Linked DNA regions of Oryzias latipes. The protein of the gene in region 2 binds, or shares a complex with, the protein of the main gene of each other region. Links are inferred from orthologs where the notes say so. Each region holds a gene or a part of one and is shown on either strand. Other genes may lie near its edges.

Region 1 (4,000 bases), on a different chromosome or scaffold from region 2:
CAAATCTGATTCTGAAGGAAGTTTTATTTTGAAAAACAGCGGGATTCTCTCCACCGCATCCGACTCTTTAGTCACACACGTATCAAGCCTTTCGGTCACGTGTTGAAAACCCATCCGCTACTTTCTTAAAGCTGCTGCGCCGACCGCCAAAACATATTTGGAGAGTTTGTTTTGGCAGAAAAGAGCCTTCCCCTTCAAAATAAAAGTAAGTCTCATTTACCAGGAGTCTTTACTCCAAATATGGATTTGTTGTGACAGTTGTTCACACAGACCACAGTTAATAATGCAGAATATTCAACAACTGGCTTTCTAATGTTACAAGGAAGCTGCTCATAAAGTCGTTTAAACTACAAATTCCCATGAATTATTATATTTAGAGAATATCAGTTTTAGTGACCCTTTTATTTGGTTTTATCAGTTCCACCTAAATAATATGAGGCTAAAGTTGGCGTCTGATTTTTTGGCTTCCACTTTGTCAGTTATGGGATCATCTGGATCCCATTTTAATGTTTCCTACTTGAAATCTAAATAAAGTCTAAAGCAGCTGCACTTATTTTACAGAGGGTGAAGATAAACTTTGCCCTCAAAAGTTAAAGTAATTTATAAAAAAATAAATAAAATAAAAGCCCCTTTGGCCTCGTACAGGCCAGTCCGTTAAAAAATTGTCTGACATTAAAGAGGTCTGTGGCCTGAAATAGGTTGGAGACCACTGATCTACAGGAGAAGGAGTGAAATTTAGTCACTAATCTAGTGAGCGTCGATGTGTACTAGTTTTCTGCAGAGACTTCTGAGGACACTGGACATTGGAACTGTAGATGTGGACATCCGAAAAAGGGCAAATTCCTGCCATGCGCAGTGATGAGTGAATTCAGCCAAAGCTTAAATGGTGTTTAATTGTGTTTGAGACTCTACCTGTGGGTAACAGATGAGCTGCCGGTACAGTTCTGCATCGAAGGACTGGACGTGGCGACAGTTCACATTCAGGACCGGATCCCCGACCACACTGATCTGAGAGGGGGGGAAAAAGGCAACAACTCTGGTCACAAATAAAAGAATAAAACACGAGTGAAGCGTCGCAAAAACTGTGGCTTAAAAGCAGAAACGAATGGCGGCGACGGCTGCACCTCTTCCAGCTTCTGCATGTACAGCGGCTCGTTGAGGTCCAGACCGGCATTCTCGTCCTCGGTGGAAGTCGGATCGATAAACCTCTGCAGAAACCTCTGAAAAAAACCACAGAAATGTTACCTTTGACTGGAGTGAAAGCAGGATGGACACAGCTCATCTGGTGACACAGTCCATACCTGGAACTTCTCTTTGCACGTCCCAACATTGACGTCTGTCCCCCAAATGACCAGATTCTGCCCGGCACTCGGCTCGCTGGCGACTGCGTTATCGGCGCTCGGCTAGAAGACGACAACCACGTCAACTTTTGTTCTTTTCCACTGAGTCCGACATTGGATGAGCCTGCGCTCGTCCGCTGACCTGGTCAGAGTGGAGATCCACTTGGGGGGCCTTTCTGACTGATCCCAGATCCGGGCGCTGCCTGGCTGGCGTGCCACGCACTCCGCTGCGAGGAGTGCCTTCCACCCGGGAGCTGGGGGTCCCGTACACAAGAGGGGAGCTGATGTCCACTTCATTCGGCCCTATGAACATCACTACTGTGACTGGCAAGGCCCTCTTTTAAATCAAGTAACACAAAACCAGAACAAGTACCTGAAGGTCGAGGGCTGGAGAACAGAGACGTGTCCTGAGGTGCCGCCGGACTGAGCAAGTCTGTCGCCGGGGAGGTTGGCATCGGCATCAGATCCCCGGCAGACGAGTCCTGGCCCCGGCGCCTCTGTGAGGGGGGAGAGGTGGGATCCTCGCTATTCGCTGGTGTGGAGGAAAAAAAAAAGTATTTTTAAAAGAACCAGAGCGACCGAGACGATCAGAGCCGAGCGAAGCAGACATACGTGTGGGCGGGTTGGCGTTTCTTCCACGTTTACGGCCTCCGGGGGTTGATGCTGGCGAAGACATCGTTGCAGGAATATCTGCAGATTGACAAAAGTCAAAACCGACTTAAGATGGTTTGTAGAGGAAAGTGATAAATGGTGATTCAGTTGTACAAATATGAGAGTAAAAACACGGGAAATATTTAGATATACAGGTATGTGCACTTTAAAAAAAATGAGTATGTGATTTTTTTTGCATCCTGTTTACTGCAAAACATTTTCTTGGTGGTCAAATAAAAATTAAGCAAGCAGCAACTTTAGTCTTTTTCGCGGTTATATCCCTCTCCATACACGTACAGTAGATTTTCAGGAGCAAAATTCGTTTCTGAAAACGTTTAGTGTCCATCAGCCCCGTTTACCTCAAAACTCTTACGTATTTATTCAGAAAATGCAGGTTAAGCGTCACTCGTCGTAGCAGTTGGATTTTGTCACGTTTAGAGCATCTTCTGTCTTTTTAAATGTACAAACACGCAGATTTGAGAAGTATTATTTCAGCCACCATTTGACATGCGGCTCTCTATAATTCAGACAAACAAAGGCGGCGCTCAGTCGACATCGTGTTTTGCTAACTTCACCACCAAAGTATGTCAATAAAAACAGTCATCGATGTTTAAAGGAAACCCCAATCAGTTCCTTCTGTCGTAGATGCATAAAGAGCGGCAGGATTTACATTAACCGGGTTGATAAAAGCAGGACTTTCTTACCTCTTCTTCAATGCACGACAAGAGCTGCAGATCTGGCGCGAAATTGCGGATGACGTCGATTTCGCGGGTAACTTTTGGCCAATGAAAAGTACGAAGCGCAAACTTTCTTCCGGGAGGCCCCTCCACTTTGACGGGGGGGATTTGTTAAAACTTCATCCGCATTCATTTATTTAAAGGCACACAGGTTCCTCAAATTACGGAGAATGGCATCTATAATAATTTAAAAACATTTTTTCTTTAAATATTTGTAAAGGTAAAAAACATTTTTGTCTAATCGACTGAGCTTTTTTGTGCCTTTTCTCCCTCCGTTTATGTGGTTATAACCCACAGGAAGCTGCCGTTTCAGCCACAAAATAGTAAAAAAAAAAACATTTTTTAATAAAAATAAATAAAATAAATCAATAAAAAGTCCTTATAATTAAACATCGATTTACAAGAATTAAAATGTTTCAAATATGATGTTTCTATTTTATATATTTCCATTGTTGCAGTGAAAACTATTGTTTAAAAAAAGTAACGGTTAATGAATACCCACAAAAATTAGTAATTATAACAATTACATATTTAAGACATTTTCCCCCTAAAAAAGATAAAATCTATGTTTATTTTTTTATGTAAAACTGCATAAATCTATTGCAGTTGCTAATTCTAACCACTAGGTGGTGCGTCTTTCACAGGAAAGTGGACCTCCACAGAGGAAAAGTACTGCAAACTGCCTAAAAGGAAAAAATGGGAAACATTTCCGAGAAGTATCTGATGGAAGACACTCAAACAGACTGCATTGTTGACAGCAGATCGGTAGACCAAAATCATGTTAAAGCCCAACTTCTGTCATTTAAATTGACTGTAAGTAAGCAAATAAAAGAGAATGAGTTTGTTTGTAGTTGCTTTGCTGTGTGAAAACACATATTTGAGCTGTTATATTTTATATTCATTTCTTTTTATTTTTTAGTTTTTTTTTTACAAACTCTGTACTCTAAAATTATCAGAATAACATTCCTATAAAGTAGCTTTAATTGTAAAGGTATGTGTCTGAATGGATTAAATGCTCTATGGTAGACTGATTATAAAATGCCCGTTTTACAGCTTGCATAGTATTGAAATTGCATTATTTATTATGTCATGAAGTTGTGTGCATTTTCCTGTCTAGACCAATAAAGTTTATCTTATCACAACATGTAAACAATTTATTTTTACAAAAAAAAAAAAAAAATTAAATTAGGGCTATATGGGAAATAGACGTGCTTACATAATATAAATAGCAAACATTTACATTTTAAAGTAAAAACAATTGTTGTAGTAGAT
Region 2 (4,220 bases):
AAAAATAAGTCGCAAGATTGGTTTATTAAAGTGATTTATTACAACATAGGACAGTTGGTTCTTTGAAGGGGTGTCTACAAAGCCCCGCCCACTTTAGGACAGCACATGCTCCAGGACGCCCTGACGAATCAGATGCTCACATTTCCAGCGCGGCAGGAAGTGCTGTAGAGAAACACGAAGTCAGAACATTTAAGGGATTCTAATTTTACTCAAATCCAGGGGGACTTCTTCCTGTCTCACCTGGCTGTTCTTCTTCAGCAGGATAATCGTCCCGTCATCAATTTCAAACTCGCCATGGTCCTTAATGCACCTCACCTGCAAGTATAGGTGTCAGGATGATGTCAACACTATGAGGCGGGGCTTTGGGTTAGAGGTCTCACCTGAATATACAGACTCTTTGGGGGCTTCATGTCCTGTGTTATGTCGAGACCCTCCCCTCCCCCGATGGAGCGCATGAAGGAGGCCAGAGACTTCTTATACTGACTGAACCACTCCACCTGTCACACATGGAGACAGCTGTTACAGCTGCCAACAGGTGAAACCTGCAGGAAGTGATGTCACACTGACCTCCTCTGCACACATGTGAAAGCGGACGTTTGCCGGCAACACGCTGCCGTACTCCCAGCGGAGTGCTCTGATCCTCAGCAGCCGGTCATAACTAGACAACAGACAAACATCAACAACACCAGTCATGTGATCTAACCTGTTCTGACTGTGGGCGGGGTTACAGGTAGGCGGTGACACAGCGCTGGTTTCGGAGCAGGCAGCTGTGTCGGAGCTTGATGGAGGGGATGAAATCGGAGCGCCCCGCCTTCGCCTCGTTCCTGAAAACAGACAATCCATTGATGTTTCTGGGTTCTGACCCGATTAGACAGATCAGCTTTAGTCTGATTTTTCATGTATCCACAGACCAATATAATTGTGTCATTGATTATTACATAATTACACGGATATTGTTTGCTCTGTCCTCCACAGACATACACTGCAAAAACAAGCCCTCTAAGTAAAAAATTCTTAAAATTAGAATTTTTTTGTCTTGCTTTTTCATGAAACAAGGTATTTTTACTTTCTTAAGATTACGTTTTTGCTGTTTGCACACTTACCACTGGTTTTAGACCCAAAGATCAGAGGTCAGTGAATTTGGATCATCAATGTTAAAGCCTTCCTTTTGACATTTGAGGCAATTAGATTTTTCTTTAGTTTGTAAGTAAAAAATGTTTGTTCTGTTTCTGGATCAGAACGGAGAACAAGCACACAAAACCATCAAAACCTTGTGTGTGGGGACTCACACGTCAGCCTGGTTCTGGTCATACAGAGACTCCATCTCCTGTAGAACCTGCCGGAGTCCATCCTCCTAAAAAATACACGGAGCCACAGTTTAAAGTTCTGCAACATAGAACCCTAAAGACAGTTTTTGAGAACAATGACATGAGGCTGCACTACTTTTCATCCCTTCCTGCATATAGGTTTTTAAAACTCTTTGGTGTAAACGCCACTTGCGAAAAATATCTGTGAAGCATGGAGGTGGAAGCATCATGCTTTAGGGCTGCTTTTCTGCAAAGAGGACAGGATGACTGACAGGTATCAAGGAAAGAATGAATGGGGCATTGAATGGTAAGATTTGGGGCAAAAGTGAGGGCACTGGGGATGAAAGATGGCTGGATCTACCAGCAGGAAACTGATCCCAAACACATCCCCATGGCAACGAAGGGGTGGCTACATAAAAAGCAAGGTTCTGAAGTGGTTTAGTCAGTCTCTGGACCTCAATTCAATAAAGAGAATCTGTGGAGGGACTTCATCCTAGATCCTAAGATCTACATGGAGGAGTGACCCAAATAACAGCCGCAGTGCAAATCTGGTAGAGATCTACAGATAACCTTTGACGCCGGTGATTGACAACCGGGTTGCATTACAAAGTTTTGACGTCAATTATAGTTTTGACCAAATATTTATTTTTTACACCTTTATAAAAAACATTATTTTGCATTTGATGCAGCCTCTAGTTCCATTTATAAGGAGTTTTTCATCTCAATGGGAATTTCCAAGTTAATAAAACAAACAAATCATTTACCAAACATACATTTTCCTTTTTTTGAAAAAAAAAATTAAGTGAAGAAGTTTGTGATCAATAGAGTCAAATCAGAAATGTAAAGCAGCTGTCTGACTGGAAGAAACAGCCTCAGAGTAAACTCGAGCAAAAAGCCTCATGGGGTGGTTGTGGTGCTGAGGCAGAGCGTCCTCTGACCGCAAAGTCTCAGGTTCGGTTCCCACTTTGCCGGCCCAGGTGTCCGAAGCTTGGACAAGACACTAAACTCCACTTTGCTCCTGATGTACTCTGCCAGTGGGACTAATGAATATAAAACGTTTTGGTATAAAAATCGCTATTTAGAAAAATACGCCATTTGTATGTAGCTTGCTTGTTTAGTTTACAGGAAGTGTGTTGTGTGTATCAAGGGCTTAGATCTGATACGAGCCCAGCTTTCAACAGAGTCCCGCCGCGGCTCGAGCCGCCTCACTCACGTTAAAGGCGGGCAGCTGTCCATCGCTCAGCCGCTGCAGCTCCCGGACCAATTCGACGGCTTTCTCACAGAACATCATCAAACCGAATCGCCACACACGAACCCGAGCCCTTACCGGCGCTGAACAGTGGCTTTCGCGGGAAAAGTTATGTTTTGGTCACGTGGCTACGTGACATGAAATGATGGAGGCCGGCTTGGGACAAAATCCAAAGTGGTAGAATTGGGAAGGCGCTGTTTGCGAGACGGTCCGGCGACCTCCACGCTTTCCTCCGACGTAACAACGTGAGTTTTTTTTATTATTATTATTTTTGTGTAAATGAATGTTAAATCGTTTCCAGTTGGACTTCCGGTCTGCTGACTGACAGGCGATAGACCAAACCCATCGAGCTCATCGCCTCGCGGGTTGTTTTCTCTGATCTCTTGCCGATTCAAACTAATGCTGTGTTCAATTACTTCCAGAGAGAAGTGCGGCCTTTCATCAGTTCATGGGGGTATTCCAGGAAACATGTTTAAACTACCCTGGCTGTATCCCTGAACTCTGGCTGAAATCCGCCTGAACTTGCTTACTCTGGGTATGTCGGTTCCAAAAGACCGGATATGAATTGGCGTAATTACGCTCGACTTGGTAACCCTGGGTTAATGCGCATGCACGGCGAGTACATAAAGACATTCTCAATGGATCGCCGAATTCAGGAGTCACCATGGAAACGCGTGGAGAAAAAAAGAGAAAGGGAGTCTGAGATTTTAATGACGGCATATGAAGATTATACGCCCATAAAAATATCAATACGGCTGCATCAGCAAAAGAACGAGTTTCTGCTAAATAACGGACAAGGTAAACGCATCAGTTTCTCATTTCTATTGTCATTATGCCGCACATCTGAGGGTGTCGCTATAGCCATTGTACAGAGGGTATAAAAGGAAGTTGATGTGTGGTTGCCATGGTACTAGCTTCCTGTGAGAAAGCCGGTTAGCTCAGAGAGCAGCGTTAGTTGGCTCGAGCCGAGAGTGTGGATCACGGCAGAGGTAGATCGTGTTTTTTCGGGGGTTTACAGACTGGGCGTGAGGTTTTGGAATACTGTGCCCTGCTGTCCCGTTTTAGTTTTTTTTTTTTTTGGTTTTGTGTTTTGTTTATCCGCTCCTCACGGAGCTCACCCGGCATGATTGACTAATCAAGTGAAGTGCAGGAGAGGACTACTTCTTTTATTTTGTTGTCATATCTTTGTTAAAGTCACTTCCTCTCATTTATACTGGACATTGTTTTATAAGTGCCGTATCTGACCGAGTGGGCTGTGCATCAGAGTGTTCTGGCATGTTTGAATTTTTTTATTATTGTTTTTTTTTTTTTTTTTACATCGATTGTGATTTTCTTTTATGCACGTTTGCTATGGTGTCATCGGTATGGTATCGTACTGCAAAGAATGATCCTGTGTTAATAAAACTCTGACTTGCTTCACAGCGGTTATCAGTTTTTACTCGGTGCAACATTTATATAACTTATCCAACTTAAATTAATTCTTTCAATTGGTAACAAGTAATTGAGTTAAATTTATTCAACCTAATTTCTTACGTCTACCCAACTCAAAATATTTTTTTACAAATCATATTTATATAACTAAGTCATTTTACTCCAATTCAATTAAATGTTTTTCCATCTTTATTGTCTTTCTTGAACTCTCATGTCTAAGTTTAAACCTGCAG

Evidence for each region. The genes of interacting proteins can lie anywhere in the genome.
Region 1: gins1 (region 2) and mcm4 share a complex: the UniProt entries of both Homo sapiens proteins name them as parts of the CMG helicase complex. The link is inferred for Oryzias latipes from reciprocal best matches to the Homo sapiens genes GINS1 and MCM4.

The regions. Positions count from the first base shown.
Region 1 is NC_019875.2:27,222,251-27,226,250, reverse strand, and holds the start of mcm4 (DNA replication licensing factor MCM4), read right to left. Parts: upstream 2,801-4,000; 5' UTR 2,696-2,800; intron 2,640-2,695; exon of another isoform or gene 2,351-2,639; intron 2,031-2,350; 5' UTR 2,017-2,030; coding exon 1,953-2,016; intron 1,873-1,952; coding exon 1,714-1,872; intron 1,644-1,713; coding exon 1,483-1,643; intron 1,404-1,482; coding exon 1,302-1,403; intron 1,221-1,301; coding exon 1,125-1,220; intron 1,009-1,124; coding exon 913-1,008; intron 1-912. UniProt on the Homo sapiens protein: Acts as a component of the MCM2-7 complex (MCM complex) which is the replicative helicase essential for 'once per cell cycle' DNA replication initiation and elongation in eukaryotic cells.
Region 2 is NC_019873.2:12,527,796-12,532,015, forward strand, and holds gins1 (DNA replication complex GINS protein PSF1), read right to left. Parts: upstream 2,801-4,220; 5' UTR 2,599-2,800; coding exon 2,521-2,598; intron 1,355-2,520; coding exon 1,290-1,354; intron 825-1,289; coding exon 729-824; intron 659-728; coding exon 568-658; intron 498-567; coding exon 381-497; intron 316-380; coding exon 241-315; intron 163-240; coding exon 94-162; 3' UTR 18-93; downstream 1-17. UniProt on the Homo sapiens protein: Required for correct functioning of the GINS complex, a complex that plays an essential role in the initiation of DNA replication, and progression of DNA replication forks.